Linked DNA regions of Caenorhabditis elegans. The protein of the gene in region 1 interacts with the protein of each later gene in a pairwise test. Each region holds a gene or a part of one and is shown on either strand. Other genes may lie near its edges. The genes, in order: zip-1 and nhr-170.

Region 1 (11,226 bases):
CTGAGCATTTCCAGCGTCTGCTTGAGCTCTTCCTTGCTATTGTTGCGATTTTTTACGCAATTCTTGGCATTTGCACGATTTTGCTCTTTTTTGCGCTCCAGCTTCTCCTTTTCTGTCTGAAATTATTTAATTTATTACCATTATTAATTCCAAAAAAATTTGAAAATTCGTCGTTTCATCAATTTTCCAGCGTTATTATTTTCCGAGAAACAAAAGTTTTTTGAAAATTTGCAGAAAGTACCGTCGCCGCACAGAAAAAGAGGCGGAGCCTAATTTTGCAACCCTGCGGCACGGGTTTTTTTTGTTGATTTTTAAAATTTTTTCTGTTTAACATTTTAATTCGAAAAAGGGAATAAATCAGGCATAATCAAAAGTTTTTTAAGCGAAAAATCAACAAAAAACCGTGCCGCAGGCTTGCAAAATTAGGCTCCGCCTCTTTTTCTGTGCGACGATGTTCTTTTTTGCAAAATTCATGGAAAAAATTCAAAAATTCTTAGTTTATCCATTTTTCATCGTCTACTTTTCCAAATAAAAATAAAAAAGTTTTGCAAAAATCAGCGTCGCCGCACAGAAAAAGAGGCGGAGCCTAATTTTGTAAGCCTGCGGCACGGTTAAAAAAAATTTTCAATATAATTTTGATTTTCATGGTTTTATTCTTTTTGTTCTAACGAAAGTGTGAAAATGTGAAAAAATCAACAAAAAACCGTGCGGCAGGGATGCGAAATTAGGCTCCGCCCATTTTTCTGCGTCCTTTTTGCAAAATTCACGGAAAATCGAACTTATTGTTAGTGAAAAAGCACTTAAATTCTGAAAAATAGCGAGAAAAAATTGCAAAAATTTGGAAAAAAGCAACGTCGCCGCACAGAAAAAGAGGCGGAGCCTAATTTCGCAACCCTGTCGCACGGTTTTACCTCCATTTTTTGGTGGTTTTTCTTGAATAAAAATTCGATTTTATTTGTCTTTTTCGAAAGAAAAAACTCAACAAAAAAGGAAAACCGTGTTGCAGGCTTACAAAATTAGGCTCCGCCTCTTTTTCTGTGCGGCGACGCTGCTTTTTGCAAAATTCATGGAAAATTGAATTTATTGTTAGTGAAAAAACACTTAAATTTTGAAAAATCGCGAAAAAACAATGAAAAAAAAATTGAAAGCCGTGGCGCCGCACACAAAAATAGGCGGAGCCTAATTTCGCAACCCTGCCGCACAGTTTTTCATCCTTTATTGTTGGTTGTTTTGAATAAAAATTCGATTTTCCTTTTTTGACAAAATTGACTTTTTCGGACGAAAAACTTCAACAAAAAGAGGAAAACCGTGCCGCAAACTTGCAAAATTAGGCTCCGCCTCTTTTTATGTGCGGCAAGGCTACTTTTTGCAAAATTTACGGAAATTCATATGTAAAATCGCCGCAAAATTTCACTTCAAAAGCTCACCAATCGGCTCATTTCGGCTTTTGTCATGCGAGTTCTCTTCTCGCCGCTCGATTTCTCGCCGAGCTTCGCCACTTTTCCGATTTTTCCACCAGATTTGTTGCTGGCTGTGGAGGTACGGCGGGATCTCGTTGGAGCACAAGCATTTGCATTATTGCCAATTGGAGTATATGCTGGGCTTATTGGACCGCTTGTGCAGCAGTAGGATGGAGTGGAAGACGGAGAGAAAAGAGAGGGCTCTGAAAAGAAAAAAATTGGGATTTAAAAAAATTTTGAAAAAATTCACATTTTTTTCCGGCAATAGTGCCGATTTGTCGGAAATTTTCAATTCCGGCAATAGTGCCGATCTGTCAAAAATTTCAATTCCGGCAAATTGCCGATTTGCCGGAAATGTTCAATTCCGGCAATTTGCCGGTTTGCCAGAAGTTTCCAATTCCGGCAAATTTCCGGTTTGCCAGAAATGTTCAATTCCGGCAATTTGCCGGTTTGGCGGAAATTTCCAATTCCGCCAATTTGCCGATTTGCCGGAAATGTTTAGTTCCGCGAATTTGACAATTTGCTTGAATTTTTCAGTTCCGCCAATTTGCTGATTTGCCGGAAATTTTTAATTCCGGCAAATTGCCGATTTGCCAGAAATTTTCAATTTTTTTTTGTTTTTGAAAATTTTTTTTTGGCGGGAAATTCAAATTTTTTGGCAAAAAAATTTTGGCGGAAATTCAAATCTTCCAAGAAAACCAACACGCAAAAAATTAGTTTTTTTTCCTTTTTAATGCAATGCCTGTAGGCAGGCGGGTAGGCAACGGGAAAATTATTTAATTTCGTCAATTTGCCGATTTGCCAGAATTTTTCAATTCCGGCAACTTGCCGGTTTGCCGGAAATTTTCAATTTCGTCAATTTGCCGATTTGCCAGAAATTTTCTCACTTTCTTCAATCGCATACTCATTCTGATGGAAATGAGCATTTGCATACGTCTCATCGGTAATTTGCATTCTTTGGATCAAGAATTCCGGCTCATTCCCATTGTAAGCAGGCTGCTGCTGCTGGGCTGAAAATATTGGAAATTAAGCCTTCAAGCCTTTAAGCCTTTAAGCTTTAAGCCTTACCGAATGGCTGAAAATCAACAAATCCGTAGCCATTTTCCTGATATGTGGCGGCTTCATCAGCTTGTGCTGGGCGTTGTGGATTATCGAAATCTGCAAAAAAATTAGAATTCGGATGAAACACGGTTTGATCTACGTTGATCTACAAAAAATGCGGCAGACTTTTCAACTGACGTCACATTTTCCTGGGCAAAAATTTCCCGCATTTTTTGTAGATCAAACTGTGATGGGACGACAGCCTGGCACCATGATGACTAACCAATTTCCGTTTTAATAACAGTCTCCCGTATCCGGAAAGGAACAAAAATGTAGACATTCATTTTTTCCGCTAATTATCAGCAATTTTTTAAGTTAAAAATGAACCAACGAATTAAGAATGAGCAAAAAAGAACACCACTTTATTAGTCTATAAAACCGCCAATTTCTCTTATCAATTTATATATATATATATATGTCCGCCTGTAGTATCCCAATACCACGCCTATTTTCGCCTATTTCGGCATCAATTAGCGACGGGTCAAAAAATCAGAAATGATTGATTTATTATGAGGAATAATGTGAAATTAGTTGGTTTAATTAGGAATGAAACCTGATTTATTACAATTAAAATTGCAAAAAAATATGAGGAAGAAAATATATTTTTTTCAATTTTCAACGGTAAAAACTGTAAATTCCAAAAATCGATCAGCAATTATTTCCTATTATTTAAATTCCTTTAAAATAATTGCCAATTCAACTATCATAAATTCGTAAATAAAACATTTTTTAATTCGCCACTCTACTTTAAAGGCGCACGGTGCTTTCTAAGTGGGTCTCGCCACGATCTCAGCACGGGCGGGCAAATTTTAAAGATTCGCTCATATGATGTATGATGTCATATGTAGAAAATTGTAATATTTATAATTCTAAGGTGCACAGGGTGGGGGAGAACGATTTTTTCCGGCAAATCGGCAATTTCGCCGGAATTGAAAATTTCGGGCAAATTGAGAAACCGGCAAATTGCAGGAATTGAAAATTTCGGGCAAATTGGGAAATCGATGGAATTGAAAATTTCCGAAAAATCGACAAATTACCGGAATTGAAAATTTCCGGCAAATCGGAAAATCGATGGAATTGAAAATTTCCGGCAAATCGGTAAATTGATGGAATTGAAAATTTCCGAAAAATCGGAAAATCGATGGAATTGAAAATTTCCGGCAAATCGGTAAATTGATGGAATTGAAAATTTCCGAAAAATCGACAAACTACCGGAATTGAAAATTTCCGGCAAATCGGAAAATCACAGGAATTGAAAATTTCGGGCAAATTGGGAAATCGAAAAATTGCCGGAATTGAAAATTTCCGGCAAATCGGAAAATCACAGGAATTGAAAATTTCGGGCAAATTGGGAAATCGAAAAATTGCCGGAATTGAAAATTTCCGGCAAATCGGCAAATTGATGGAATTGAAAATTTCCGGCAAATCGGCAAAATCGCAGTAATTGAAAATTTCCGGCAAATCGGCAAAATCACCGGAATTGAAAATTTCCGGCAAATTGGGAAATCGAAAAATTGCCGGAATTGAAAATTTCCGGCAAATCGGCAAATTGATGGAATTGAAAATTTCCGGCAAATCGGCAAAATCGCAGTAATTTAAAATATCCGGCAAATGGGCAAATCACCGGAATTGAGAATTTCCGGCAAAATGGAAAATTGCCGGAATTGAAAATGTCCGACAAATCGGAAAATTGCCGGAATTGGAAATTTCAGGCAAATCGGCAAAATCGCAGTAATTTAAAATATCCGGCAAATGGGCAAATCACCGGAATTGAGAATTTCCGGCAAAATGGAAAATTGCCGGAATTGAAAATGTCCGACAAATCGGAAAATTGCCGGAATTGGAAATTTCAGGCAAATCGGCAAAATTGCCGGAGTTGAAAATTTCCTGCAAATTGGGAAATCGGAAAATTGACGGAATTGAAAAATTTCGGAAATTTGGAAAATTGCCGAAATTGAAAATTTTCGGCAAATCGGAAAATCACCGGAATTGTGAATTTCGGGCTAATCGGCAATTTGCCGAGATTAAAAATTTCCGGAAAATCGGCAATTTGCAAGAATTTAAAATTTCCGGCAAATTGGTAAACCGGCAAATTGCCTAAATTTAAAATTTCTGGCAAATCGGAAAATTGCCGAAATTAAAAATTTCCGGGAAATCGGCAATTGCCGGAATTGAAAATTTCCGGCAAATTGGCAAATTGCCGATATTGAAAATTTTCGGCAAATCGGCAAATCACCGGAATTCACGATTTTCGGCAAATTGGCAAACCGGCAATTTGCCTATTGCCGCCCACGCCTGGCACGCATATACATATAAATCCTGGCTTTATATATGTGCACTTTCGAACTTTTAATATCCAAAAATGTTGCACATGCACAGAGATCGTGACGAGACCCACTCAGAAAAAACATCATGTGCCTTTAAAATGGAATAAATTTTTACGAATTTACTAGGAAAAAAATTACTGAAAACTGATTTTTCGGTGATGCTCTAAAGTATTAATGCTCTAAAGTTTTTCAATTTCAATTATTCCTAATGATAAATTATATAGCTGACCAGCTAATTGATCACATATGCTGCTTATCGTAATAAATGTCATTGATCAGGGAAAAAAATTTAAGTGTTAGCAATTCCGAAGGAAGTATGAATCATGTTTATGTTGCTGTTGCTAACATTTATTTCCGACAAGAGAAATATATGATTTTTCGAGATAATCATCCCTTATACTCCTCCTATCACCATTTTCGGGTGATTTTTATATCATACTTTTTAATACTATATTAATACTATAATATATTACTATATATATATATATATATATATATATATATATATATACTATAATATATGATATATGTATATATTAATACTATAGTATATAATACTATCATTTACTATATATAAAGCGCTTATTCCGTTTGTCCATAGTTTGTAGTCTATGTAGTCTTTGTAGTCTGCAGTTGGGGTACTGTAGTGGTACAATGGTGGCACGGTAGGAGTACTGTATGATTACGGTAGTTTCAGAAAAATTGGTTTTCAGCTCCAGAAGTCAGCTCCAGAAGCCACGGCTGGTATATATATATATATATATATATATATATATATATATATATATATATATATATATATATATATATATATATATATATATATATACAGTGCGAACAACTTCTATCGCGCTTCCAATTATTTTCGAGTTTCAGTACTTTCCAATTTTTTTTTCTCGAAAAACGGTGAATGCCATTTGATTTTAAATGTCAAAAAACCCCTTGTCGTAAATTTTTATCGAAAAATATCAAACACTGCGAGGACTATAGGTCAAAAAGTCTTAAAAACGACCGTGCAACTTCTATAGCGCATATTTTTTGACAAGGGGTTTTTTACGACAATTTACGACAAGGGGGTTTTTCGACATTTAAAATCGAATGGCATTTACCGTTTTTCGAAAAAAATTTTGGAAAGTACTGAAAATCGAAAAAAATAGGGGGCGCTATAGAAGTTGCACGCACTGTATATATATATATATTAATACTATACATCCGTTATATTTATACACCCGTTATTCAACTAACCATAATAACTCTTTATATCCCATTCAACTGCCTCATTCTCCGCGTTTATATAGTTGAGAGTTGGCTCAATTTGGGTCTCGACGCGAAGTTCGAACAATACCTAGAAACCGGTAAGCATTCATGGGCCTAACTCTTATTTAATATACCTTATCCGGATTCTTATCCACCGCCGTCATTTCAACATCCCCTTGATTATTCGGAAGAATCTCCATCGGAGCCAAATCCTCCTCGGCTGGTATGAATGAAAAAGGCTCCGTTCGTTGAAACTCAAGAGAAGCGTTCATCAGGTCATCCGGTATGACGACTCCCTGCGAATAATCGGTTATTGGATGAGGCGGCGCATTTTCAAGGCTAGTTACCAAAAAGTCCGCATCCATCATATCATCATCTTCCGAGAAATCGACGAAATTGTTATTTTGATTGTTCATTTTTGATAGTTTCTTTTCTGAAAAGTGTGCATTGAATTTTCAACTGGGAAATTTGCAGGAAAAAAACAACGGAACGAGTCATCGGATCGGACTTCAGAGAATGCTACAAAGGCTAAGCTATTACCGATCCAGAAAGAGTGTAGTCAGTTGAAGAGACACAGGCATCTGGGGACCCGGGAAAGAGTCAATTTGTGTCGATTTACGGAAGAGTAACACTTCAAAAAAATAAAGCTAAACCTAACTAAAACCTCCAATTTTGCGTTCCTATCTCGTGTTAACTGTTAGGCAAATTTTAGGCCTGTAGGCATTTAAAATTAGATGCCTAATGTACCTAGAGGCAACATTGAAGATTTCAGCTAAATTTGGCTAAAATTTGAACCGTCATAAATACATAAATACAGTGTGCACGTGGTGTCAGAGTGCCCCATATCGGTTTGATCTACGAGAATCGCGGAAATTTAGACGCAGAGTTCTGAACTGATTTTTGCGACCCCGGAAAAATGGGCAAAATTCGATATTTTAGCTAAAATCAGTGCAATTTTTTCAAAATTTTGAACCGCCATAAAAAATTTTTGAAAATTTTTTGAGAAGTTTCATTACGAAATTCGTTCATTTGAGTCCATTTTGGGTCTATACGTTCAAAATTGTTCGAACCGTTAGTCCTCCTTTAAGAGTAACGCTCCGTAAATCGACACAAATCGGCTCTTCCCCCGCGCACCGCCCTTTGGGTCCCGAGATGTCTGTGTCTCTTCAATTGACTACACACGCTCTCTCTCTCTGTCTGGATCGGTAATATAGTTCGTAACAAGAAAATCCCAGGCAATTTTTTGAACCAATCAAAAATGAAAAACTGTTCAAACAGGCCAAATTTAGCAGAAACCTTCAATTTCGCTACTAATTTTAGATGCCTACCTGCCTAAAACTTGTCTAAGTTAACACGTAGCTTAAGCCTCCAAATTGTGCACAAAAAAGTGGGAATTTGGAGATTTTACATCTATTTTTGCAAAATTTTAATAACTATATATAACTGTGCAATTCATTTGCTTAATTCCTGATTTTCCTTCCATTGCATGGCTATTTTGAAATACTCACGTTAAGTACTATTTATTAATTGAAATCAACTTTTTTCCAACAAATTAGACTTCCAAAAATAGTAAAAACTACAGAAATCGAAGGCAGAAATGAAGCGAATGGGGTCTTCCTCACTTTAAAATTTTAGGCGATGGGGTGGGAGAGGGCGCCAGAGTGAAGCAGAGAAGAGAGTGCTGATAACGAAGAGAGCGAGAGAGAAAGAAACACGAAATTTTCTGTTTACGCTGTCCGCATTTCCTCAGACAAGAAATAGTGTGGGAAATGGAGAGAGTGCTGTCTGTAGTCCTATGATGTGATCGGAAGGAAAGATCGACACAAAAAGTGATCGTAGTTTGGCCTTGTAGATCAGTTTGAAGAAAGTAAATTTGTTGAGACAAGTAGTGTATCTTCGAAGCTAACAAGATCTAATTTTAGCGAAAAGGGTCTCGACGCGACAATATTTGTTTTGAAACCAGTGTGCGCCTTTAAATGACCGAATCAGGGGTGGACGGTTCGCCAAATTTTTTTTCGGCAAATTCGGCAAATTGTCCGTTTTTGCCGGAAATTCAAATTCCAGCAATTTGTCGATTTGCCGGAAATTTCAAATCCGGCAATTTGTCGTCGATTTGCCGGAATTTCAATTCCGACAATTTGTCGATTTGCCGGAAACTTTAATTCCGGCAATTTGTCGATTTGCCGGAAGTTTCTATTCCGGCAATATGGCGACTTGCCGGAAATTCAAAATCCGACAATTTGCCGGTTTTTGCCGAAAGAAATTTCAAATCCGACAATTTGCCGATTTGTCGGAAATTTCAATTCCGGCTATTTGTCGATTTGCCGGAAATTTCAATTCCGGCAATTTGTCGATTTGCCGGAAATTTTCAATACCGACAATTTGTCGTCGATTTGCCGGAAATTCAAAATCCGACAATTTGCCGGAAATTTCAATTCCGGCAATTTGTCGATTTGCCGGAAATTTCAAATCCGACAATATGTCGATTTGCCGGAAACTTTAATTCCGGCAATTTGTCGATTTGCCGGAAGTTTCTATTCCGGCAATATGTCGACTTGCCGGAAATTTCAATACAGGCAATGTCGTTTTGCTGGAAATTTCAAATTCGAAAATTTGTCGATTTGCCGAAATTTTCCATTCCTGCAATTTGCCTATTTGCCGGAAATTTTTAATTACGGCAATTTGCAGTCGATTTGCCGGAAATTTCAAATCAGACAATTTACTGATCTGCCGGAAATTTCGATTCCGGCAATTTGTCGATTTGCCGGGAATTTGCCGGAAAAAATCGTTTGCCGCCCACCCCCATGAACAATCATCATCTTCAAACTCCGCCCATCCCACCTGATTGGTTGAAAAGTGGGCGGAGCAAATCGCTGATTGGTCGCAGTTTTAATTTTGGAGGGAATTTAGCTAAATTTAAAAATTTCGTTTTTTTGTGATATTCAGAAGAATTCGAAAAATGTTCAATTATTTGAAACTTTCTGCACTGTTTTTTGGAATTTTTCATAAAATTTCGGTTAAATCTGCAATTTTGAGAGTTTTTTCCTCAAAATGATGGGAATTTTTCAAAATGTGCTGGAAAAAATTACGAAAAATTCCAAATTTTCTCTAAAAATCAAATTTTTCGGCACTTTTTCTAGAAAAAATGCGTGATTTTTGTGGCCTGATTGCCATTTCCGATTCGAGTTTTTTTTCAAAAAAAAAAAAAAACTACGTGCAGCGGCGAGCAGAACAAATAAATAATAGTGAGTCATTTTTCGAAACGACACAAATAAAATCTTGCGGTGTACTTGGGCTCTTATCAACGAAATTTTACAGAAAAAAAAGAGACCCGTGCTGAGGAAATTGGCCCGATTGGAGCACAGAAACGTCACGATTACAAAAAAAACTAAAAATTTAAATTTTCCATGGAAATCGATTTTTTGTTCAAAAACAAGAATTTAAATTCATTTTTCTTTTTTGTTGCAAAATTGCATTTTAAATCATAATTTTGAGCTAAAAACTCACTTTACATTGGATTCGTTCCGTTTTTTTTCTATTTTTTTCCTTTTGAAGTATCCAAAATTTGATTTTCCTGTAAAAAATTCAATTTTAAAGGAGAAAAAACACATTTTTCAGTTAAAAAACCATTTTTGTCGATGGAGCGCACTTACTGACTTAACTTTTTTTACCTCAGAGAAGCAGAAATGCGAAACTTTTCGTACAAAAAGTGAACTAAAATATCGAAAAACGCAGGGAATAAATTATTTTTATAACTTTAGAATTTAAAATTTTCAAAATTAAATCATATTTCTAGATTTTTGCGTCTCGAAACGACTTTTAACCTTTTAGCTTCCATAAACTCTCGAAATCGGGGAACACGGAATCACAAACTAATTCGACAAAATGAGAGTTTTTAAAAGGAAAGGAGTTTTTTTTTGGCCTTTTTTAAAACAATATTCGGTTACGTTTACCTATTAGAAGAATATTCATACAAAATCCCGACTGACCAAATTACGCAGGAATCAGGCAAGAAGCCGACTGGATTTGATACTTGCCTAAGGTGATATTTATACTCCCTTTTTATCAGCAAAATTTTTTTTTTTGTAAATAATTGAGTGTCGATTTTGTACTGAGGAAACGCGCCAGCACTAAAAGTTCGGTAAATTTGGCAAATCGGCGAATTGCCAGTTTGCCGGTTTGCTGGAAATTTTTAATTCCGGCAATTTATCGATTTGCCGGAAATTTTCAATTCCGGCAATCTATCGATTTGCCGGAAATTTTCAATTCCGGCAATCTATCGATTTGCCGGAAATTTTCAATTCCGGCAATTTATCGATTTGCCGGAAATTTCAATTCCGGCAATTTGTCGATTTGCCGGAAATTTACAAATTCGGCAATTTGCTGGTTTGCCAGAAAATTTCCATTCCGAAAAATTGCCGGTTTGCCTAACTTGCCAGAAAATTTCCATTCCGAAAAATTGCCGGTTTGCCTAACTTGTCAGAAAATTTCCATTCCGAAAAATTGCCTGTTTGCCAAACTTGCCAGAAAATTTCCATTCCGAAAAATTGCCGGTTTGCCAAACTTGCCAGAAAATTTCCATTCCGAAAAATTGCCGGTTCACCTAACTTGTCAGAAAATTTCCATTCCGAAAAATTGCCGGTTTGCCTAACTTGCCAGAAAATTCAATTATGGCAATGTTGCGATTATCGTTTTGAAATTCTGAAATTTCCAGAAAATAAACTTGCAAACCCACAACTTGCCGAAGTGTTTTTTTCCGGCAAATTGCCGATTTGCCGCACTTGCCGGAAATTTTCCTTTCCGTCAAATTGCCGAATTGCCGGAAATTTCAATTCCGGCAATTTGTCGATTTGCCGGAAATTTACAAATTCGGCAATTTGCTGGTTTGACAGAAAATTTCCATTCCGAAAAATTGCCGGTTTGCCTAACTTGTCAGAAAATATCCAGTCCGGCAAATTGCCGGTTCGCCGAACTTGCCGGAAATGTTCCATTCCGGCAAAAATATTTAGACTACAAGGAGAATAAATGAATAAGAACACATTTTCAAAAAGTACAACCATCGGATAAATTCCATAATTTAT
Region 2 (13,765 bases), on another chromosome or scaffold:
GTTTCAGGCAGAAATAGGCCAAACTTAGGCTTAAACTGAAAATTTTTTTAAAAAAGTCTCATCAGTTGCCCAATTTGGCATTTTTGAAAAATACTTGGAACAATTCTAACAACAAATTCGAAATATACACAAAATTTCTAAATTTTTAACACCCATATTGACTATATTCCAAAAATTTGAATTTTCGGGCCAAAATAGGCCGAGTTAGGCCAAAAAATTAAAATTTCGAAATATAGTGAATATGGGTGTCAAATTTTAGCGAATTTTATAGAGAATCTGATTTTCATTAAGAAAGATCAAAAAAAGCACAATATTTCTTAAAATAAGCCAAAACCGGCCGAATTTTGGCCCGAAAAAAGTAATTTTCAAAATAGTATCGTAATTTTAGATGTCCGTGCTGAAGATATTACTGAACAAGAACCGGCGTCATCACATTTACCAGAAGCTCAGATTTTGTATACGATTAGCTCAAAATCACGTGGTTCAAGCCTTTTGGTTGATGTAAATGCAGTTTTACGTAAAAGCAAAGCAATTATGGAAGATGTATGTTCATTTTGAGAAGATTTTGAATTTTCCCTGAATTTCCTGAATTTCACCTGAATTTCTAGAATTTTTTTCTGAATTTCTAGAATTTTTCCTGAACTTCTGGAATTTTTCCTGAGCTTCTAGAATTTTTTCCGAATTTCTAGAATTTTTTCTGATTTTCTAGAATTTTCCTGAATTTCTAAAAAAATGTCTGAATTTCTAGAATTTTTCTTGAACTCTAAGAATTTTTCCTGAGCTTCTAGAATTTTTTTCTGAATTTCTAGAATTTTTCCTGAACTTCTGGAATTTTTCCTGAGCTTCTAGAATTTTTTCCGAATTTCTAGAATTTTTTTCTGATTTTCTAGAATTTTCCTGATTTTCTAAAAAAAATTTCTGAATTTCTAGAATTTTTCCTAAACTTCTAGAATTTTTCCTGAGCTTTTAGAATTTTTTCCGAATTTCTAGAATTTTTCCCAAAGTTCCAGAATTTTTTTCTAAATTTCTAGAATTTTTCCTGAACTTCTAGAATTTGTCCTGTGCTTCTAGAATGTTTTCCGAATTTCTAGAATTTTTCAAAAAACTTCTGGGATTTTTCCTGAATTTCTAAAGTTTTCCCTGAATTTCTAGAATTTTTAAAAAAATTTCTGGCATTTTTCTTGAACTTCTAAAATTTTTTCTGATTTTCTATAATTTTTTTCTGAATTTCTAGAATTTTTCTGAATTTCTAGAATTGTTTCTGAATTTCTAGAATTGTTTCTGAATTTCTATAAGTTTTTGTGAATTTCTAGAATTTTTAATGAATTTTTAGAATTTTTTTAAAAATTTCTAGATTTTTTAAAAACATTCCTGTGATTTTTCAGAAGTTTTAGAATTTTTAAAAAAAATTCTAGATTTTGCTGAAATTTTCTAGGATTGTATTAAGGATTTTTCGGAAATTAAAAAAAAAATTTTTGATTTTCTGCTTGACAGTTTTCAGTTTTTTTCAATTTTTTTCAGAACCACAATTTCTACGTGGCTCCAGATTTAAATCCACTCCAAATGATGGTAGAGTCCCTTCACAAAATCCGATCGAAACAGTCAGGGTCCCCAGAATTTTTTACCACTATCAAGTTTGGCAGAAAGTTCCAATGGTGGGCTGAGCAGCTGGAAGACACGGCCACGTGGCTTATGAACTGCCGGGAGTTTAGAGGGCTCCCAATTCATGAAAAGGTAGTGTTGATTAGGCTTAGGCTTGGGCTTAGATTTAGGCTTAGCCTTAAAAAAGTTACTCAATTTCCAGCTTGCAATTTTCAAAATAGTGTGGGCAGTTTGGCGGAGATTCGAGAGGTACACAATGTCTGCTGAAGTTTTCGGACAAAAATGTTATGATGAAAAAGTAGGCAGGAGTCTTACCTAAATCAAAATTCTAAAAAAATTTATTCCAGATTCTTCTGCATTCCCATAAGTTTGCAGCAAGATTTGGGAGCTATTGCGTTGATTATTCACATGTATGGAGCCAGGGTCCGCACACTTTTGAGAAGTAAGCCCTGATACTAAGAATATTGAATTTGCCATGAAATTTCCAAAATTTTGACACCCATATTGACTATTTTTATGCTATCTTGTACGGAAGGTTATTTTAAAAAATTTCAAAATTTAAACAAAAGCTGTTTTTTTTTCAAAGATTCAAAAGTACGGCAAAATAGTAATAGTAATAGAGCCTAATAGTAAATCCCCACCTAAATTTTTTTAGTCTTTTTCTCCATTTTCGGCCTAAAAAAACCAAAATGGGTATCAAAAGCTTCCAAATTTTACTTAGAATCCATATTTCCTACTACAAATTCAACATTTTCAGTGTATTCGGTGGAAAAATGATCCGATACTTTGACATAATCGTGAAGCCATACCTGGAACTTAATCTCTCTGAAACTGAAGTCACCTATATTTTATGTCAAATCGTCTGGAATTATGGCTTTAGGCCACTTTCAGGCCTGAAAACAGATTTTTCGGAATATAGTCAATATGGGTGTCAAAATTTCGGAAATTTTGTGTAGATCTCGAATTTTTACCTTGAAATCACTCAAAATGCTCTAAAAATATGCAAAACACCAATTTTGTCATACTCTTCAAAATTTTTAGTTTTCAGCTTTATTTTCAGCCCAAAAGACCCATTATTGGTGTCAAAATGCTCCAAATTTTACGTAGAATCCAAATTTCTTACTGAAAAATTCAATTTTTTCAGTGTATTCGGTGGAAAAATGATCAGATATTTTGACATAATCGTGAAGCCATACCTGGAACTTAATCTCTCTGAAACTGAAGTCACCTATATTTTATGTCAAATCGTCTGGAATTATGCAGGAAGACGGCTTCAAGGACAAACCCAAGCGGCTGGAGAACGATTTTTAGAGGAAATTTCCAATAATTTGCATAGTTACTATGAAGAAGCTGCTAGAAAAGAGGAAAATCCGAAAAACTATGCGTCAAGGCTTACGAAAATGATGCAAATTGTCAATGAAATGTTGAAAATGCAGCTGAAACAGGAAACTGACATGGACTTGGCGCTTTTGTTTGATATGTTCAATATTTCGTTTACCGAGCCCGAGTTTTTCAGGGTTTGAGGGGAATTTTATAGTAAAAAAGCAATGAAATCTTTAATTTCTAATGGAAACAGCATTTACAAAAAATTTCAGGAAAATTCCAGAAATTTTCAGACATTTCTAGCAAGTTTCAGCTCTGAAAACCTGGAAAAACTTTCAAAAACTTTGAAGAAAATTCACAAATTTTAAGAAAAATTTCATATAAATTTCAGAGATTCGGAATTTTTTTTTGAAAATTTCAGAAAATTGCAGAAATTCAGAAAATGTTCCGGAAAAATATTTCAAAAAAAAACTCACAAACTTTCATAGACTATTTTCTGGAAAATTGATTTTCAGGCCTAGTATTGGCCTAAAACGGCTTACTTCAGCTTGAAAAGTCAATTTTTCGGAAACTTAAAATTACAGTCAACATTGAAATTAAATTTCCAAAATACGACACCCATATTGACTACATTCTGAAAAATTACTTTCAGGCCTAGAATTGGCCTGGAAGCGGCCTATTTCGGCCTGAAAGTTACCTTTTTCGGAAGTCCGGAAGAAAGTTACCAATTTGACACAACGTTGTGAAAATATTGATTTCGGGCCTAGAATTTGGCTTGAAACGGCCTATTTCGGTTCAGGTAGACTATTGTCGTCGAAGAATTGGATCGTTTTCGGGCCGAATACACTGAAAAATCAGACTGATGTGGAGAATTTAGAACGTTACACAGAAATTCTAACAAATTATGATCCATATTGGCTACTTTCTGAAAAGTTAGTATTCAGGCCTGTTTTTGCCCTAGAACGGCCCGTTTCGGCCCAGAAGTAAATTTTTAGGTCATCAGTAGCAAAATAGATGTGTACATAACATTTCCCAAAATGCGACGCCCATGTTAGCTATATTCTAAAAACGTAACAATCAGGCCTAGAATTGGCCTGAAAACGGCCTATTTTGGACTGAAAAGTGAATTTTCGGAAGATTAGCATAAAAAATAGAAAGGTGCATAGCACTCCTCAAAATTTTAAACATATATTGGCTATTTTCAGGAAAAGTGAATATCAGGCCTAGAATTGGCCTGACAACGGCCCATTTCGGACTGAAAAGTGGATTTTTCGAAGATCAGCATAAAAATAGAAATGTGCATAGCACTCCTCAAAATTTTAAACCTATACTGGGTATTTTCAAGAAGTTTGACAATCAGGCCTAAACTTGGCCTGAAAACGGCCCAGTTTGGCTTAAACACTAAAATTTTCAGATCATAGTCAATATGGGTGTCAAAATTTTGGAAATTTCACGCCAAATTTGAATTTTTTAGTTTCAAGTCCACTTATGTGTGTTACAAAATTCTAAAATAACTTCACAATTTCACACAAAATATCAAACGATTTATTTTCGTTATTTTTCCACTCAAACCCTGAAAAATTCGGGCTCAGTGAACACAATATTAAACATATCAAACAACATTGCTATATCCATAGTATTTTCTCGTTTCAACTGAATACTCAGCATTTCATTGACAATTTGCATCATTTTCGTAAGCCTTGACGCATAGTTTTTCGGATTTTCCTCTTTTCTAGCAGCTTCTTCATAGTAACTATGCAAATTATTGGAAATTTCCTCTAAAAATCGTTCTCCAGCCGCTTGGGTTTGTCCTTGAAGCCGTCTTCCTGCATAATTCCAGACGATTTGACATAAAATATAGGTGACTTCAGTTTCAGAGAGATTAAGTTCCAGGTATGGCTTCACGATTATGTCAAAATATCTGATCATTTTTCCACCGAATACACTGAAAAAATTGAATTTTTCAGTAAGAAATTTGGATTCTACGTAAAATTTGGAGCATTTTGACACCAATAATGGGTCTTTTGGGCTGAAAATAAAGCTGAAAACTAAAAATTTTGAAGAGTATGACAAAATTGGTGTTTTGCATATTTTTAGAGCATTTTAAGTGATTTCAAGGTAAAAATTCGAGATCTACACAAAATTTCCGAAATTTTGACACCCATATTGACTATATTCCGAAAAATCTGTTTTCAGGCCTGAAAGTAAAGCCTGAAACGTCAATTTTTTGGAACCTTTATATTACAATCTGCATTGCAATAAAATTTCCAAAATTTTGACTCTTAAATTGACTGAATTCTGAAAAATCACTTTTCAGGCTTAGATTTTGACTTAAAACGGACTATTTTGGCCTGAAAACTCATTTTTTTGGAAACTTAATATTACAGTCAACTATTTTTTAAAAAATGCCAAAAATTTGGCACCCATGTTGACTATATTCTGAAAAATCAGTTTTCAAGCCTGAAAGTGACCCAAAGTGGCCCAAAATGGCCTACTTTGGCTTAGAAAGACGATATTTGGAAAGCAGTAGATATACATGTCAAATTTTCATAATATCTCTTAATTTACATCAATTTTGGCTTCCAGGCCTAAAATGGGCCTATTTCGGCCTGAAAACTAAAATTTTCAGAATATAGTCAATATGGGGGTCACAATTTTGCGAATTTTATGTAGATTTCAAATTTTTAACTTCAAAGTCCGGAAACTCACTTGTTAAACCGCTCAAAGCCGTGATCCGACACGTTTGAATAATCGATATGATAATTGCCAAATCTCGCGGCAAATTGGTGATTGTGAACGTGAATCTGAGAAATTTTTAATATTTTCAGACTATTTCAGGCCGTTTCAGTTACTTTTTCGTCATAGCATTTTTGACCGAACATTTGAGCAGACATTGTGTACCTCTCGAATCTCCGCCACACCGCCCACACTATTTTGAAAATTGCGATCTGGAAATTGAGAGACTTTTTTTAAGGCTAAGCTTAAATCTAAGCCCAAGCCTAAGCCTAAGCCTAAGCCTAATCAACACTACCTTTTCATGAAAAAAAAAATTTTCAGAATTTTTTTTTTAAATTTTCAGACAAACTACCAAAAAAAACTAGAAAAATGTTTTAAGCCTAAACCTAACCCCGAGTCTAGGCCTAAGCCTAAGCCTGAGTCTAGGCCTAAGCTTGAGTCTAGGCCTAGGCCTAAGCCTAATTCGAAAAAAACCTTCTCATGACTCGGTAGCCTCCGAAATTCGTCCGAATGCATAAGCCACGTGGCAGTATCCCGCATCTGTACCTCCCACCACTGGAACATTTTGTAAAATTTTACGTGCTCAAAAAATTCCGGGCTCCAGGACTGTTTCTCACGGATTTTGTGCAATGAGTGGGACATCCGCTGAAGGGGGTTCAGATGAGCAATAAGGTCTTCGTCGGGAAAATAGTGCTGCAAAAAAAAATTGAAATTCGCTGAAAAATGTAAAGATTGAGAATTTCCGAAGTCTAAACCAAAAAAATTGAATTCTTTGTGAAAATTGCAAAATTTTGACACCCATATTGAGTATATTTCTAAAACTTCAGTTTTCGGGCCGTTCTGGGCCTCATTTCAGGCTTGATCTCCGAATTTTCAAAATTTAACACACAAAAAATGCATTTTGTGAATTTTGTACAAAAGTGACATACAAATCGGTTGTTTTTAACAGTTTGTGCTTTCAGGCCGTTTTGGGCCGGCTTTTCGGACCAAAATAAGCCGTTTCAGGCCGAAATCTGCCCTGGAAACAATTTTTTTAACAATTTAGCAATATGGGTTTCGAAATAATTTAAAATAATTTAAAAATTTGTATTCTCCGCAAAATTTCCGAAATTTTGACCCCCATATTGACTATATTCCGGAAATTTATGTTTTCGGGCCGAAATAGGCCGATTTTAGGCCGAAATAAAATAGAGTCTACTCACAATTGCAAAATTTCATACAGTTCCTAAAATTTGGAAACTTAACACCGCCTAAATTTATGAGTTTTTTGAATTCGGGCCGTTTCAGGCCGAAATAGGCCGAATTTAGGCTTATACTGAAAATAATAGTAATTTTCGAAAAATAATACTATAAATTTCGGATTGTTCACAATTTCTAAAATTTTAAAACCCATTTTGAGTATATTTCTAAAACTTCAGTTTTCGGGCCGTTCTGGGCCTCATTTCAGGCTTGATCTCCGAATTTTCAAAATTTAACACACAAAAAATGCATTTTGTGAATTTTGTACAAAAGTGACATACAAATCGGTTGTTTTTAACAGTTTGTGCTTTCAGGCCGTTTTGGGCCGGCTTTTCGGACCAAAATAAGCCGTTTCAGGCCGAAATCTGCCCTGGAAACAATTTTTTTAACAATTTAGCAATATGGGTTTCGAAATAATTTAAAATAATTTAAAAATTTGTATTCTCCGCAAAATTTCCGAAATTTTGACCCCCATATTGACTATATTCCGGAAATTTATGTTTTCGGGCCGAAATAGGCCGATTTTAGGCCGAAATAAAATAGAGTCTACTCACAATTGCAAAATTTCATACAGTTCTTAAAATTTGGAAACTTAACACCGCCTAAATTTATGAGTTTTTTGAATTCGGGCCGTTTCAGGCCGAAATAGGCCGAATTTAGGCTTATACTGAAAATAATAGTAATTTTCGAAAAATAATACTATAAATTTCGGATTGTTCACAATTTCTAAAATTTTAAAACCCATTTTGAGTATATTTCTAAAACTTCAGTTTTCGGGCCGTTCTGGGCCTCATTTCAGGCTTGATCTCCGAATTTTCAAAATTTAACACACAAAAAATGCATTTTGTGAATTTTGTACAAAAGTGACATACAAATCGGTTGTTTTTAACAGTTTGTGCTTTCAGGCCGTTTTGGGCCGGCTTTTCGGACCAAAATAAGCCGTTTCAGGCCGAAATCTGTCCTGAAAACAATTTTTCAATTCAATTTAGCAATATGGGTTTCAAATTCAAAAATAAGTATTGATTAAATTTCACAAGATTATTTTTAAGCCAGTTTTAGACCGGAAAATTGACTTTTTCAGAATTTTTTCAAACTTTTTTGAAACAAATTTTTGAAAATTACCTACCGTCTCCAAAATTGCTCTACTTTCTTTAATAATTGCATTGACATCAATAAGCATTGCAGGTGCTTGAGTTTTCGGGTTAACTATGTAATATTCCACCCGATTCCGCACTTTGGCGACAATTTGCTGTGATGACGTCACTTCCATTGATGACGTGGATTGAGGGGATTGAGAACTGGTGTCTTCAGAATCGTCTTTGAAATCTGTGCGTACATCTGAAAAAAAAATTGAAAAACTGAAAAAAAAAAGTTTTAGCCCGAAATAGGCCGAAATAGGCCAAATTTTAGCCTAAAACAAAACATTGCAAACTTTAATAAGCAATCTCTTCTGAGAATTGAAATAAATCAAAGTTTTGACGCCAGTACTCGTTGTATAGTTTCTGAGTCGATTCGGGCCGAAATAAGCCGAGATAGGCCGAACTTAGATCAGTGTGAGACATGTTATGAGGTTTTTCTTTGAATGCAAAAATTTTTGTCGAGTTAAACCTTTACAACCTTATTTTTAGCTATAGTTTAAAAAATTGTGGTTGGGTTTTAAAATTTTAGAAATTGTGAACAATCCGAAATTTATAGTATTATTTTCAGTTTAAGCCTAAATTCGGCCTATTTCGGCCTGAAACGGCCCGAATTCAAAAAACTTATAAATTTAGGCGCTAAATTTTAGGAACTGTATGAAATTTTGCAATTGTGAGTAGACTCTATTTTATTTCGGCCTAAAATCGGCCAATTTCGGCCCGAAAACATAAATTTCCTGAATATAGTCAATATGGGGGTCAAAATTTCGGAAATTTTGCGGAGAATACAATTTTTTAAATTATTTTGCTTTCACAGTTTGCATTTTCAACGAAAATTTGAGAAAAAAAACCCTCACTTTCAGTAGTCATACCCAAGTCGATGCATTTTTTAAATCTGCAAAATTTGCACAGCTTCTCCTCGCCACCGGCTCCAATTTCACATTTTCCAGTTTTCTGGATACATTTGTATTTTCGGTTCAAAACTACGGTGCGCCTGGAAAAAAATTCTCCGGTACGATGCTCCGAAATTCCGCTAGAGCTTACCTGAAAAATGCAGCACACGCACGACAAGTTTCAAGCCCAAAATGCAGACCGTGACTGGTTTTTTGACAAATTTCACAGTTTACAGTGAAATATGTCATTTCTGACGAGGATGATGGAAATTCCATTCTGAAAATTTGAATTTTGGCGACAAAATATCGATTTTTGAGGAAAAAAAACTCAAAATTTCTCAATTTTTAATGTAAAAATCTATGGAAAATGTGAAAATCGTAATATATTTCATAGATGAAAAGTGAGAAATTTGATAAGAGGTGAAATAGAGACAGGGGAAAAGTAAATATTAGGGAAAAAAGCACGAGACGCAGAGTAGGAACATCAGCAGGTATTAGTCACCAGGAAACATGCATACATTATTGTCATAGGAAATATAATTTTTAGTTAAATAAACCAAAATTTTCTCGAAAAACCGGGTTCTAACACAGTTTTCAAGATTTGAAACCTAAAAAATCGAAATTCTCGCATAGAAAAACCCCCGACAGAGTACATAGGTTTTTCTATGCGAGAAAATCGAATTTTCAATTTTTAACTTATGAAAATCAAGCTGGAACATTGATTTTGGAGATTTTAGGGGGGCTTTTCTCAATTTTTGAGAATTTCAAAGCAAATCGACCAAACTAAGCTTGAATTGCATGTACACAGTTCTCTAAAGTTTAGATGTTTTGTTGAAACAACACAATTTCGGTATGATAATATTTATTCAATATTCAGAGCTTAGGCTGTTCACCATGGAATGTTTGGAACATAACGACATACTCCCAAGTAGCATCTGTGAAAAGTTCTGCACGGTGGGTCACACCATCTGCGAGTACGATTGCGGGCTACGCCGAATCCCTGGACTTCGTCTTGACAAAGAACTCCGAATGGGAAGAGAACAGCGATCTGAAATTTCAAAGCTTAATTTTTGACATTCCTAGAAGTTTTTGTATATTCTTAAACTGAAAAATTCGATTTTATCCGTCTAAATATGATTGAAAACACTTGAAAAAAATTTTTTGCCACAGCGGGGACTCGAACCCCGGTCTTGTGATTGTCAGTCGCCGAAAATCACACTGAGCCATTTGGACAAAATTTTCAAAAATTTGCGGGAAATATGTAAATGTGAGTGTAACACTAATTTTGATTCTAATTTGAAAATTTCAAATTTGAAAATTTTTTGTTGAGTAAGTAAATTTTTGGTATTTTCCAGATGTTTTTTCTCTGAAACCTCAAAATTTGAAGTTTATACTTTTCAAACATCCTGAAAACATAATAACAAAAAATTTTACCAAAGCGGGGACCCGAACCCCGGTCTTGTGATTGGTAGTCAGCAAAAATCCCACTGAGCCATTCTGGCATAAATTTTAAAATTTCAAGATATTGTCCGATTTTTTTTAAAATTTAGACTAATTCAAAAGTAATTTAGTTTTCAACTCTAGAAACACTTACCAAAACGAGAATTTTCATATTTTCGAGCGCCACACTAAAATATGAGGTTCTTAATGTTTTCCTGCTAGTTTTTATAGATTTTAATCGTATTCTCAAGGAATTTCCATTATTTCGGTGTTTGATTCGAGGCCGATGGGAATTTCAAAGAAAAATTTACATTTCTCAGTGGGCGTTTGGGAAAGTGACTCACAAATGGTTTTGATTTTTTGAACTGGCAATTGATTTTTTCGAAGTTTTCCAAGAAGATGATGCAAAAAAAACTTTAAAGTTCAGATTCAGACGCATCAAAAATACCCAAAATCCGTTCAAGCAACACTAGAAAAAAATATCGACCAGCGTGCGGACTCGAACCCCGGTCTCGTGATTGGAAGTTGGCGAAAATCCCACTGCGCCAGCCGGACAAAATTTTCAAAAATGTGCGAATTTAAAAGGGTTTCAACTCAGCTTTCAAGTTTTAAGACCCAAAAAATCGAAAATCTCGCCTATAAAAACCTAAATACCCCCAACGGGGACCCGAACCTGCGCAGTCGGGAAGAGGCTTGACTATGGGGAAATAGGAGCCAGGGTTGAACCCCCGATGGGGCACATAGGTTTTTCTAGTCGAGATTTTTGAATTTTCCACTTTTAAATTATGAGAATCGAGTTGGAAACTAGATTTTGGTGATTTCAGGGGTATGTTGCACTCTTTTTTTAAACTAATGCTGAATCAATTCGACTATGCGTCTGAAAAAAAACAATTTCCAGTAAAAACAAAACGGTCTTGATATAACAACATTTATTCAAAATTCAGATACATACTCCCAAGACGCATATGTGAGTAGGATGACACTGTGGAATACACGTAAATCTGATTTGAGAAGCTGCATTAAATGCCGGGGCATTGTCTTGGCAAAGGGCTCCGAATAGGAAGAGAGCAGCGATCTGAAACATTAATTTTTGGCGTTCCTATAAGTTTTTATGCTAAAAAAAAATTGAAAATTCAAGTTTTACAAGCTTTAATTACTATAGAAAACGTAAATAAAAAAATCTGCCACAGCGGGGCTCGAACCCCGGTCTTGTGATTGGTAGTCGCCGAAAATCGCACTGAGCCATTCGGACAAAATTTTTGAAAATTGAGCTTTCTTAGGTTTTTTAAGGTTTTAAGCTCAAAATTGATGATAATTCAACTTTTAAACTCTAGAAACACTTACCAAAATGAACATTTTCATATTTTCGAGCGCCATATTAAAATATGTCGGTCTTAATATTTTGGGGGTAACTTTTATAGATTTCAATCGTGTTCTCAAAGAATTTTATTGATTTAATGTTTGATGTGAGGACGATGGAAATTTTAAATGGAAATTTGCATTTCTTAGTGGGCGTTTGGGGCCGTGACTCAGAAACTGTTTTTTTTTTAATTTTTTTTTGAGCTAAAATTGATTTTTTCGATGATTTCCGAAAATCTAGCGTTGCAAAAAATTGAAAATTCAGATTCTACACATCAGAATTACTCAAAACCGTCCAAGAAACACAATAAAAATATTCCGACCCGGGTGCGGACTCGAACCCCGGTCTTATGACTGAAAGTCGGCGAAAATCTCACTGCGCCATTCGGACAAAAATTTCAAAATTGGTCAAAATTCGGAGCACGTGATAGAAAAGCTGCTTAAAGCATAATTTTCACATTTTAGTTACAAAAATCCACTTTGAAACTAAAAAAAGAAAATTTTTGCAACCAAATTTTCGACATTTTCTAAAACTTTCTGAGTTCCCAAACTTAAAAATTTGAATTCTACGTCTCAAAAATACTCTAAAACAATTTTTAAAAATGGAAAAAAAAATTGTGCCGCGGTGCGGACTCGAACCCCGGCCTTGTGATTAGAGGTCGGCGAAAATCCAACTGCGCCATTCGGAAAAAATTTTCAAAATTGGCGGAAATTCAAAAACTTATAATAAAACTTACTTTTTCAAGCATTTAGTACAGTTCCCACAAAATTATTCGAAATTCTCATGCTTGGCTCAACGAGGCTCCCCACCTGACTCTCATTTGGAACTGGAAGTCTGAATTTTTTTTTTTTTTTTGAGAATTTTTTTTCTCAAAAAAGAACCTTAACAATCTGAAAACCTTCTCCTTAAGTACCCGTCGGTATACCCCATTGCTCATAACCATTACAAAACACTGACACATTGAGTGGGAGGACATTAGGAAGGAGAAGGTGGAGGCCAGCTCTGAAAATTTTTTTTTCGATAAAAACTTTTTTTCTGAAAACCTTTTCTATTACCTTCAAAAGCCAATGAATTTGTCATAATTACTACTAGAATCATGTACAAAGGGGTTGTTAGAAGCATTCCGGGGATCACCATTTGCATGGTCAGGCTTATGAGGGCTGTTCTGTGCATTTGGTAGGTTTGGGGGGACATGTGAGCACGTAAACGTTGGAGAATCATCATAGTGTGTACGCCAAGGTATAAACAGTAGCTGGAAAAATTTATTCATACCTCAATTGATTGTGACACCTATAAATGCTCTTTCAACAAATTTTCAAGGTTTTAAAACCTAAAATTTTGAAATTCCCGCATAAAAAAATCTATCTGCCTCAACAGGGACTCGAACCCGTGACCTTTTGCTCCATAGACAAGCCTCTTATCCTCTGCGCCACGAGTGCCCCCTTCGCCGCAAAAGAATGCACAGCATAGCGCAGTGGGTAAGAAGCTTGACTGGGGGGAATAGGTCTCAGGTTCGAGCCCCCGGTGGGGTAGATAGGTTTTTCTACGCGAGATTTTTGAATTTTCAACTTTTAAATTATGAGAATCGAGTTAGAAACTAGATTTGCGTAGTTCTCAGGTCCTTTTTTTCACTTTAATTAATTGGCTCAGTGGGATTTTTGCCGGCTACAAATCTGACGACCGGGGTTCGAGTCCCCACTGTGGGTTTTCGAATTTTCAGATTTTATGATAACTTCAATGAGTATTGAAAAATGTCGAAAATTTGGTTTTAATGACAATCTTCAATTTTATCAGTTTACCTTGCAACCACAAAGACCCAACCAATTCCTCCGAGCCCTGCCACTGGAATCCACGTGTTCACTTGCCAGTTATAAGCTTCAAAGCCATCATAAGCCATCCAGCTCAAGCATTGGGGGTAATTCTGTAAAATTTCGAGGAAAAAAGTAGGTCTGGGTGTCCGGATGTCCATTACCTGCCTAACATAGTCATATTTTTGCTCGTAAGTCAATTGCGACATCCATGTGCCAAAACCAGTG

What was found.
Region 2: the proteins of zip-1 (region 1) and nhr-170 interact in a two-hybrid assay, tested with the Caenorhabditis elegans proteins (one large-scale study listed by BioGRID).

What each region holds. Positions count from the first base shown.
Region 1 is NC_003281.10:12,332,259-12,343,484, reverse strand, and holds the start of zip-1 (BZIP domain-containing protein), read right to left. Parts: upstream 6,579-11,226; 5' UTR 6,562-6,578; coding exon 6,280-6,561; intron 6,234-6,279; coding exon 6,134-6,233; intron 5,820-6,133; exon of another isoform or gene 5,693-5,819; intron 2,619-5,692; coding exon 2,529-2,618; intron 2,471-2,528; coding exon 2,348-2,470; intron 1,664-2,347; coding exon 1,428-1,663; intron 117-1,427; coding exon 1-116. Other genes in the region: zip-12 (BZIP domain-containing protein), read right to left, coding at 11,223-11,226.
Region 2 is NC_003283.11:18,791,615-18,805,379, forward strand, and holds nhr-170 (Nuclear Hormone Receptor family), read right to left. Parts: upstream 9,213-13,765; 5' UTR 9,206-9,212; coding exon 9,081-9,205; intron 9,031-9,080; coding exon 8,894-9,030; intron 8,239-8,893; coding exon 8,027-8,238; intron 6,355-8,026; coding exon 6,136-6,354; intron 5,874-6,135; coding exon 5,778-5,873; intron 5,730-5,777; coding exon 5,635-5,729; intron 4,871-5,634; coding exon 4,492-4,870; 3' UTR 4,447-4,491; downstream 1-4,446. Other genes in the region: nhr-231 (Nuclear receptor domain-containing protein), read left to right, coding at 389-543, 1,522-1,734, 1,805-1,900, 1,950-2,044, 2,747-3,125; C54E10.11 (FIP (Fungus-Induced Protein) Related), read right to left, coding at 9,819-9,977, 10,524-10,541; C54E10.10 (Late nodulin), read right to left, coding at 11,310-11,444, 11,714-11,746; sri-10 (G protein-coupled receptor), read right to left, coding at 12,470-12,563, 12,611-12,731, 12,785-12,981, 13,529-13,650, 13,702-13,765.